Linked DNA regions of Caenorhabditis elegans. The protein of the gene in region 1 purifies or fractionates together with the protein of each later gene. This does not show direct contact. Each region holds a gene or a part of one and is shown on either strand. Other genes may lie near its edges.

Evidence for each region.
Region 2: the proteins of F26A3.7 (region 1) and F01D5.10 fractionate together in Caenorhabditis elegans (co-fractionation; one large-scale study listed by BioGRID). This does not show direct contact.

Annotation. Positions count from the first base shown.
Region 1 is NC_003279.8:7,673,995-7,678,481, forward strand, and holds F26A3.7 (uncharacterized protein), read right to left. Parts: upstream 2,134-4,487; 5' UTR 2,127-2,133; coding exon 2,073-2,126; intron 2,023-2,072; coding exon 1,819-2,022; intron 1,771-1,818; coding exon 1,669-1,770; intron 1,610-1,668; coding exon 1,514-1,609; intron 1,470-1,513; coding exon 1,182-1,469; intron 940-1,181; coding exon 790-939; 3' UTR 740-789; downstream 1-739. Other genes in the region: golg-5 (Golgin-84), read left to right, coding at 2,688-2,759, 2,806-3,005, 3,051-3,208, 3,256-3,487, 3,542-3,761, 3,806-3,963, 4,132-4,486.
Region 2 is NC_003280.10:14,016,925-14,023,092, forward strand, and holds F01D5.10 (Carbohydrate sulfotransferase), read right to left. Parts: upstream 4,407-6,168; 5' UTR 4,302-4,406; intron 4,035-4,301; 5' UTR 4,022-4,034; coding exon 3,763-4,021; intron 3,206-3,762; coding exon 3,129-3,205; intron 2,540-3,128; coding exon 2,397-2,539; intron 2,350-2,396; coding exon 2,212-2,349; intron 2,153-2,211; coding exon 2,015-2,152; intron 1,518-2,014; exon of another isoform or gene 1,429-1,517; intron 1,373-1,428; coding exon 1,215-1,372; intron 1,172-1,214; coding exon 1,041-1,171; 3' UTR 915-1,040; downstream 1-914. Other genes in the region: cyp-37A1 (CYtochrome P450 family), read right to left, coding at 1-35.

The sequences.
Region 1 (4,487 bases):
AAAAAGTTTATTGTGCCACTGTTTCCTTTTTCATAATTCAGTTGATAATATTCAAATTTACTTTCAGCGAGATCGTGAGAAAAATTAGAAAATCGAGCGACAAGAATTTGTACCGTACAATAAAAATCTCAAGTCTAATTTTTCAAGGAAAACCAATTTTCTGGTAAAAAAAAAGGAATGCGGAAGAAAAGCGGTACCACCGGACACCGCATGGACACCTAACAAAATGAAGATAAGTGGAGCGGAAAGAAAAATGACATTTTTGTGTAGCCCCGCCCACTCGTCTCCTGAAATTGAACCCATTCTCTTTGGAAGTATAGTTATAGTACAACAATTAATTTTGATTCGATATAACACTTTATTATTCGTATATACATATTGTCAGAACTATATAGTTTTATTGTTTAACCAAAATTAATTTGTGAATATTGTGTGTGCCGAGTCAAAAACCTAAGCAAGTGAGATCAACGGAGAGTCGTATCTGGTTTCACTATACTGGTCAGTTTTAGAATTATTAATGAGAATTGCACCACTTACCTTCCCAGGTGAAAATGTTTGTATAGATATATACATGGAAGTATATATAGAAATTTTAGAAAATAATTATTAGAACAGAAATTGACAACACGGGGACTTGAGAGAAGTCATATAAAAGGAACCCAAAAAATGATTTTTTCAGGATTTTCAAAAGCCCCTGAAAATGGTTTTCTAAACCCTCAAATGTAAAGTCGCATGATATAAATAAATGAAAATTTATGTAGTACGAAGTTAGATCAACAAACAAAATATTCATAGAAACCGCTGATCTTTACTATTCGCGAATCGATCAGCAAATTCTTTCATTCGATCGACAGCTTCCTTGCTGCCACCTGGTTTCAATCCACGGACTTCCATGTCTTTTTCTCGATCAAACGGACGGCGTTCTCCTTGTGCATAGCCCTGAAATTGAATTGGTTAATTTTTAGATTAAATAAAAATTTTGATAAACTGCACTTTTGTTATAAATCGAAGTTTTTTTTTAAAGAAATGTTAAACTGATTGCGTTTTTCAAAAATAATTTGATCAATGTATTTTTTTGAATAATTTAAATTTATAATTTTCGTCAAAAGTTATGGAATTCATGACATGAATGCCCTATAATTTTTATTTTTATTTTTAGAACTACCCATTTTCCAACTTACCGCGTCTTTAACTTTTTCATCTCTCTTTTTTTGATGAATTTCTAGAAGAGAGGGTCCAGATGTCTTTTCCGCGACAATAGCAGCTTGTCTAGCATCAGCAGCAGCAATTCCAACAGATCTCGCACTTCTTGTCTCCTCATTTCTTCTTTTCTTAGCTCCTGGAGCATCTTCCCAAGAAGCATCCCTTTCTGATGTGGTTCCTTTTTTGAAAGTTCGCGCGCCAAGACCGAAATTTCCTAGTTTTTTCGGCACTGATGTCATCCATTCTTCGCGTTTTGGTTGGAAATTCTAAAATATATATTCTGAGAAAAAACTTAAGCTATTAATTTTACCTTTTCATCGTCTTCTGCTTCTTTTTGTAATACCATCCGATATGCTCGATCAATTGCTTCTTTCTCTTCATCCCCTTTTGCAACTGGCATTGGGCCCTTTAATTTTGAATGTAAAAGATCAATAATATTTCAGCGCTTTTTACAATTTCACTTACAATGTCTTCATCAGAATCATCACCAAAAGTTCCTGGAATTGAAGGACCAACGGTAGGACGAAAGTTTGAAGGAATCGATGGACCATAGGATTGTGAAGGAAACTGAAATTTTCAAGATATATAAAATTTCCAAATTTATTTATCAACAACTTCTTCATCCTCCTCGTCGTCTTCAGCGGGGTTTTCTACGTTTTGTAATTTTTCTCTAACTTCTTTTGGTATGGAAGGTCCAAATACACTTGTCTCTTCCTGATCATCGTGCTTTTCTTTTTCATTTTTTGGTTCTTCCATTCCTGGAATTACAGGGCCGTAGACTTGGGGAGCGCCTTCTTCTGCTTCGTCATCCACTTCATTCTGAAACAAAAATAGCATCAGCTGGATGTAAAGTAAAATATCAATCACACCTCTTTTATTTGACCTTTCATGAGAAATGCAGGAAGCTGAGGGCCGTATGACATATCTAAACTGAAATGGAGTTATTCGAAATATTTTATATAAATTTCTGTCGGATATTTATGCATGTTGTCTAAAAACATAGTTTGGAAGAATCGAACAAAATTAATTTTAAAAAAAATTTAAATAAGAAAATCAGCACATTCGAGGACTAACATTTGTGACAAGCCTACGCGCTCCATTGAACATGAAACTTTGACTTTTTCCAGGTGTTCCTAAATTGATGATGAATCCCAAATATTTTCTTGAATATTTTCTTAATATGTTTATTAATATATTAAAATTGAAAATGTATTAAAATTATTGAGGTAAATCTATAAAATCAGGAAAAATTCTATCATTGTTCGGTGGCCTAGAAATTGGGGTCTAGGTTTCTCATGACCGAACTTGACGAATCCACGTTCTTTCAAAGCTTGTTCTTGTTTTTATGCTTCGTAATCGATTTTCTGAAATACATGTTTTGAAACGCATATCTTTCGTTTGTCATACATTGGAAACTTTTATTTAAACGATTATTCAAACCCACGTAAAATGAATAACTTGTTTTTACAGAGAATTAAACACGAATGTCATGGTTGTCTAAAGTGTCCGATATTGCCGGAGCGGCCGAAAATCTTTTGAATAAACTTGATGAAAAGGCAAATCTTGAAACTAATGTTTCTATGTACAGAATAAATGTTACAGACTGGAGACGCAATTCAAAATGCCAGAGATTCCGCTCCTCGAACACGTAAATCAAGTACCGCCAGCGTCTCAGCAACGATTATTTCGATGCCAGAACATGTTATCACTGAAGATTTCGGCAGACCGGCTCCATCTCTTCCCTCGAGAGCTCAGAGTGATTATACCGGAGCCGGATGGAGAGGAGGAAGAAATTATGAACAGTTCGTTATTCTGATTTTCTTCACATGTGTCATTTAAAATTTCAGGGGTAGTTCATCGACTCATCAGCCAGGAGTAACAGCAGCATCTGAAAGTTGGACGATGGTTTTAAACTCGAAAGAAGTAAAAAATGCAAAACCAGATGAAGATACACGAAGTCAGAGGAGTGTTGGAGGCCGTAGTGTTGCTAGTATTCGAACTACCTGTATGTTTTGACGATTCTTACGAAACTTTTGAATTTTGATTTTTCAGCAGAATTTGCGGGAAACGATTCGAGTCCCAATTTTAAATCTCAATTATTTGCAAAGGATTCTCAAATATCAGTATTAAAAACGAAACTTTCTGAAGTGGAAAGAAAATTTGAAAAACGTAGTCAAGATTATTACGAGATGAAAGCTGAAAAGGAAATGTTAGAGAAGAGAGTTGAAAACCAAAAAGTATCAAGTCATGAAATGGATAGTCTTCAAGAATTGAAATTAGCCAGGTAATTATATTAACATCTTGACGTGTTGTTTTGCATTTAATTCAAGTTTTCTAGACAAAAAGCACAAGATCAAAAAGAGAAAGCAGTGGAGGAGTGTAACATGCATAAGAGAAAAATAGTTGGTTTGGAAGAAGAAATTCGTGCGATGGTCGAACAGTTGAGGCTGGCAAAGTTCAATCTGAATGAGAACAAAAAAGAATTTGATGAGTACAAGAACAAGGCGCAGAAAATTTTGACAGCTAAAGAGAAACTGGTGGAGTCGCTGAAGTCAGAGGTTTGAGAGATTTGACCGAGGATTGATATTAAAATTCAATTCAGCAAGGAATCGGATCCAGTGATCGTCCTGTTCATCTTCTTCAAGCTGAAGTTGAAGAGATCAGAGTTGAAAGAGACCTTACAAAAGCCGATTTAGAATCTGCACAACTTCAAGTTTATACCTTGAGATCTGATATGGAAGAATTGGAAGCTCAGATAAGGTAAGGTTTTTCCTTAAATTTTTCACATTTCGGATTTATGACGAAAATTCAAATTCTCTCCCATACTCGATGGTCGAGCTTTTAATTAATAGCTTTTTAATTTTTTAATTCAAAAAAAAGAGGCTTTTTTGAGAAATTCTTAGTACTGTTCCAATTTCCACTTTTAAGAGATCTCCAATCTCAATTGTCGGACCAAAAACGAACTCATCTCGAGGAGAAGCAGACATGGGATAGCACAATTGGTCTTCTAAACGAGAAAGTGGAATGTTCAAGAATTGAAAATGAGTTCACAAAACAAGAAATGAAAAGACAAGGTGATCAGCATCAATCTAAAATGCTCGAGAAGGAAAATGAGTTGAGAAAGACGATTAGCGACTTGCGTTCACGAATGCGAGATGAACAAACGAAGCAGGAAGATGATGGATCATCACAACTAACTGATCTTTTACTGCAGAAGCAACAACAATTGGAAGATGTTTTAAGAAATAATCAAGTGTTGAATGTGAGATTGGAAAGACTTCAGG
Region 2 (6,168 bases), on another chromosome or scaffold:
ACCACCAAAGCAAGGAGGTACACAGCGATCCCCATTTTTTTCTGAAAATTTTAAAATTATATTTAAAAATTAAAATTAACCATATAATATAACAGTGAAATTGAAGAGTTTTTATGTTAAAATATTCAAAAAGTTAAAAAAAAAAAACTAAATAAATTTTTTGGAAAAAATCTGAAAAAAATTTCAAAAAAATTTTATTTCATTTTTTTTAATTAAAAACTGAAATTTTCATACTGAAAAAATTTTGTTTTTTTCAACTACACTCAAAATACTGAACCTCTGTGAATTAATGCATATCAAAAAATTTCCTTAAAAACGGAAAAAAAGTGTAGTATAGTGGTAATTTAATAGAGAAAAATGTGCACATGTCAACTGATAATATCAGTTGATTTTCAAACTGATTCCTTATTTTGTTTGGCTAGACACTTGGCTACAGTACTGGGAGGAGCATTTTGCTCCGTGAGCATTTTTGATCTACGATTTTAAAAAATTTAGAAATATCTAGTTTGGCCATTAATTTTTAACTAATTGTAGTACTTGAAATTGTCTATTAGTTGATTTTAAAAAAATTTGAAAATTAGCAAAGTGCTAAAAATTGAATTTTAAAAAACTACAACAGTCTCAAGTAGCTGGGGTTTTAACAAAAATTTCAAAATTTTGCATTAGAGCGCATTTGCTAAACCTCAAAAATGAACAAAATTACAGTAATTTAAAATTTCTACATCATTAAAAAACCTCCGCAAAAAATTCTGCAAAAATGTTGATCTTCTGCAAAACCGTGTTGCACTTTAGAATAGTAAACCTGAACTATTTGTAAAAATCAAATTCCCAAACGTTTTGAAAAAGCCCACACAGCACAACACAAACATTGATAGTGATTATGTCATTTTTGATAAGAAATAAACCTTAAAATTCAAAATTCGAATCATTTATTGAGGAAAAGCACCAGAAATCGATGGAACAACAACGCAAAAAGTATGGAAATGGGGAACCCGTGAAATGTCAGCTGCTTTTGGTTTTTTTTTTTTTTGAGAACTTGTTTAAAATGGGTATCCAAACACGATAAAGTCGTGTTCGTACAGATAACGGAATAGTCGGTAAAGATCGTCATGATCTCGTTTTATGGCTACGGCGAGCTCACGTTCGTCCGGTGAGAGCTCCAGGGGAATTTCTGAAAATCAGGATTTTCGGACGCTTCAGACTAAAAAACCTACTCAAAACTTCCTCCTTAATAATCCGCTGAACCTCTTGAGCAACTCCCTGCTCCCCAAGGATTTCATTCAGGTTATCGGAGAACTCCGCCCGTTCAGTTTGATTCCCGCCAATCTTCACTGTACGAATCTTTTGAAACTCCCGATTGAAATGGCAATTCCTGGAAATAATAAACACACTTTGCTAAAAAGCTAACTTCCAAAATTTATTATTAAAACGTCCTCAGACAGCCAAGGTGTCTCGACATATTGGCATTCGGTAATATTTTAGCGAAACCTGTCCTGTTTTCATCCTCACCAGACGTGATTAAAGAAAGAAGGCTCGCGAACGTAATAAACCGACGCGGCGGACAACTTGCGGGTTCCGCGGCGCGCTATGTTTTACGTGGACGCTGCGGGGAGAGAGCGTGTGGTAGGAGGAAACGCAGCGTGGGGGAGGTGATTTAAAGGGGAAATTGCATTTATTGATGTTAAAAATGTGGTTTTTTGGTATTTTCAGTACAAATTTTGGTTTTTTATTGGCATAAAAAGTGAGAATAAAACCTTTTTGGACGGGAAACAATAAAAAATTACGAATTTTTGATGAAATTTTAGTAGTTTTTCTCCAAAAGTGCACTAATATTTTACTTTTTCTTTAAATTTAAAATATTTTACATATTTTTTGAACGTTTCTCTTCATTTTCCAGCTATTTTTCTAATCTTTCAACTTAAAAATCGATTTTAAAGCCAATTTTCCAAATTTTCAGCTAATTTGCAATGGAGCGCGCTTGCATTCCCGACTTTTTTCAAAATACCGTACTTACCAAGTCTGAGGGCTGAAATGATTTGTGATAAACGTCCTGACTGGTCCTGCAAGCCCCTCCGCTGTTTTTTCGTGCTGCTTCAACAATTTCCGCATGAAGCAACTGAGATTGTCCTGGCAGTTGAAGCATTTTCGCTCACTGCAAAAAAAAAATCGATAATTATTGATTTTTTTTTCGTAAAAATCAATAAAACTCACATTTTACACAACTTCTTATATGACCTAACAAATCGTTCCAACGGATGCTGAATAAATACAATCCTTCGAAAATCGTCATTAATTTTATCCCACAGCTTCCAGTCGTTCATATTGAATTCAGCGATTTTGGAGCATAATCTGAATCTCTAATTGTAGAGCACCTAGATAACTTATAAAATTCTTACCCAGTTTCTCCAATATCCTGAGAAATTGTCTTATTCGCCGAAGTGTATAGCGTTGAATTGTACAAATAGCAAAATATGGCTGTATTCATTTCGGGAAAGTTTCCGTTTATGGTGCATCCCGATAGTTTGTACTTTGGGACAAACTGAAAATTTAATTTGAAAATTTTGGAATATTTTGTCAGTTGACAAATTTTTGTTACCTTTAATCTCCGCCGAGATATGCGCATTTAAAGTATTTCGGTCAGCAGAGCGGTAGCGGGGTGTCAGTGGGCGGTAGCGGGCGGTAGCGGGGGTGCCAGTGGGCGGTAGCGGAGCTATAGCGGGGCGGTAGCGGGCGGTAGCGGGGTGTCAGTGGGCGGTAGCGGGGTGTCAGTGGGCGGTAGCGGGGTGTCAGTGGGCGGTAGCGGGCGGTAGCGGGGTGCCAGTGGGCGGTAGCGGGGCTGTAACGGGGCGGTAGCGGGCGGTAGCGGGGTGTCAGTGGGCGGTAGCGGGGTGTCAGTGGGCGGTAGCGGGGCGGTAGCGGGGCGGTAGCGGGGCGGTAGCGGGGCGGTAGCGGGGCTGTAGCGGGGCGGTAGCGGGGTGTCAGTGGGCGGTAGCGGGGCGGTAGCGGGGCGGTAGCGGGGCGGTAGCGGGGCGGTAGCGGGGCGATAGCGGGGCGGTAGCGGGGCGATAGCGGGGCGGTAGCGGGGGCGGTAGCGGGCGACTTTTGTCCAATGTTTATCTGCGCCTTACCTTCTCAGCCCGATACCCCTGCGCAAATGGTGGCAGGGATTTGATGAGGTCCGACATCCAGGCGACTCGAGGTCTGTCTGAAAAAATTGATTTTTTTTTTTGCAATTTTGTCCCCGGTTTTGTTTGTAGTGTTTCTGTGGTTTGGTGATCAAAAATTTTAAACCGTAAAAGGGAGAGGGAAATTAGGAAATTTCAGCTAATTTGAGAAAATTTCGATTTCGCCTAATACGGGCTTGATCAATCATCAGGAATTTGTTTCGAGGAGGTTAGCATAAATTGATTATAGTACTTGTGACAGGGTTACTGTAGTGGTACTGTACTTGGGATTACTATATAGGGTTACTGTAGGAGTACTGTAGTTACTAGTGTTTGCTAGGCACAATTACTGTACAATGAATGTGGGCGTACTGTACTAGGGTTTACCTTACGGGGTTGCTGTAGGAGTACTGAGTATTACTGTATAGGGTTACCGTAGGAGTACTGTTGCTGACTAATGTACTCGGGATTACTACACTAGGTTTACTGTATGGGTATTGTAAAAGTACTATAGTTGACAACTGTACTAAGGTTTACTGCATAGGGTTACTATAGGAGTACTGTAGTTGACACTATTAATTTAAACCAAACAACTCACACCTATCAGTAACCACAGATGGTTGCAGTTGAGCTTGCGGCGGATTCTTCCATTGTGAATATGCGAACCACATGAGCCCGACTGTGATGACAAATGGTACCAATAAATATGCGTGGTTCGAACGTCGAGGTGGCTGCACGTGCTGTAAGGTTGAGGACATCCTCTTGTACTGTGTTGGGAGCTCCCCGACTGGAGGTGGTGGAGGTGTTGTTGGGAGCGGCGGAGGTTTTTGGCACTCGTGTTTGTGCTTTTTTACCATTTTGATAGGTATCCTTAAAGAAAATAGGATTACTGTAAGATTACTGTAGGTGCCCCGTAGGGGTACTGCAGGGTTACTGTAAGAGTATTGTATGGTTACTGTAGAAGTAATGTATATGGTTAGTGTATGGGTAATGTAGGATTACTGTAGGAGTCATGTAGAACTAATGTAGGAGTAATTCAGAACTACTGTAAGAGTATTGTAGGATTATTGTGAGAATACTGTAAGATTACTGTGAGGGTACTGTAAGATTACTGTAAGAAAACTGGAGGATTATTACCGGTACAGAGAGTGTAGATAGTTAGAGAGTGACAGACATCCGGGACCCAATGGGGCGGGGCGCGCGGAAGAGACGATTTGTCTCGATTTACGAAATGATGACAATGAGGAAAAGTTCGTAAATCGACACAAATCGTCTCTTCCGCGCGCCCCGCCCCATTGGGTCCCGGATGTCTGTCACTCTCTAACTATCTACACTCTCTGTACCGGTAATACTGTAGGAGTACTGTATGGTTACTGTGGAAATAGTGTAGGGTTACTGTAGCAGTTCTGCATGGTTAGTGTTGGGGTACTGTATGATTACTGTAAGAGAATTGGAAGATTACTGTAGGGGTATTGTTGAAGTACAATGGAACTTTGAGGGAAGGAGTACTGTTAGGGATTCTCAGCACGCAGAATACATAGTTTCAAACTAGCGAGCTTTCAAAGTTACACAGTAAGCGATAGGTGGAAGCGAAATTTACATCTTTCCAAAAAAAATGCATGGGCGCAAAAACGAATGACGAAGATCACAAAGGTGACGATTTTCAAATAGATAAGACTGGCTAAAAGTCAGGAATTTACAGGCAGATGTCTGAGATGAGAAAATGTGGAAATTTTTGAAAATCGAGAAAACAAAAATATTGGAAAAAGGCAGGAATTTCAGATACCCGGGGATTTAAACAGAAAATTGTAAATTTTTTGGAAAAGCCAAGTGGCGTATCAAATCGCTAATCATTGGGCCTTATGACAAGGATAAAAAGAAGTTGGTGATTATGTGGAGATGATCAGAGGCAGAAATATTATACCTACTTCATGCCTGCGCACCTGCCTACCACCTATTTTCTAAATTATGGCGTCAACTGTACATATAGAATAATTTGAAGTATACAGAAATAAAGGCAAGACTTTGGTAGTAGGCAGGCGTGAGGGCTTGAGGCAAGTATAGGTTGCTTTTCAAGCATGTTAACAGACAGTCAGGTAGGTAGGCAGGACCCCCCCCCCCCCCCCCCACCGCATCAGAAAAACAGAACCATAAAACTACTCCCCTGACAATGTGTAGTTAATGTGTAGGGTATTACGTAAAACGTCTAGGTGTTTCAAGTTTTTTGCCAATTCGCTCTCCCTCTTTTTTTTTATTCTGCGCATCATTTTTGGTGTGTGTGTGTGTTTGTCTAAATCTCTTCTCAATTTCCCATATTTTTTGCGGGGGTTCGGCAGCGGCGGCGGTGAATAAGGAAAAGCTGTAGGTCTGTGTTTGATTGCGCGTTTTGGTGGATTTGCCAAGGACTATTGGGTTTCGGTTAGGGAGGGAAATGAAGCTGGAGGAGAATTTTTCTGGGGATTTATGCAACTTAAAATTGGGAAAGCTTGGCGTTCGGAAAATGTATCCAAAAAAAAGTAATGACGGTTCAAAATTTTGAAAAACAATACCAATTTTCAGCTGAAATTTCAAATTTTGTCTCGAACTTTTCAAAAAATTCCAACAACTGCCAAAAAACTTACCAACTATCTGACTAACTATAGTCGTTTGAAAAGTAAAATATTTGCCGGAAATTTTTGAAATATTTCTGGAAAATGACAAAAGTTGCCGAGAGGTTTGAAAAAAGCAACGAAAAATGATAAAATTATTTTAAAATTTCCGAAAAATTTCCGCTATGACTCGGCGTTTGCCGCCAGCTTCCTACCCAAGGCTTCGCAACTTCTTACCCAAGCCTTGCCCAAAAAATAAAAACATTTATAAGGAGTTGCCAAGACTTGGGTAAACCTTGGGCAAAAGTTGGGCGCCGCCTCAAAAATGAAAAAAGTCGTCGACTGCCTCGTCGTCCCGAGGCGTCGCCCTAGTCTTACCCAAGTCTTACCCAAGTTTTGCCTATTCCTTACCCAAT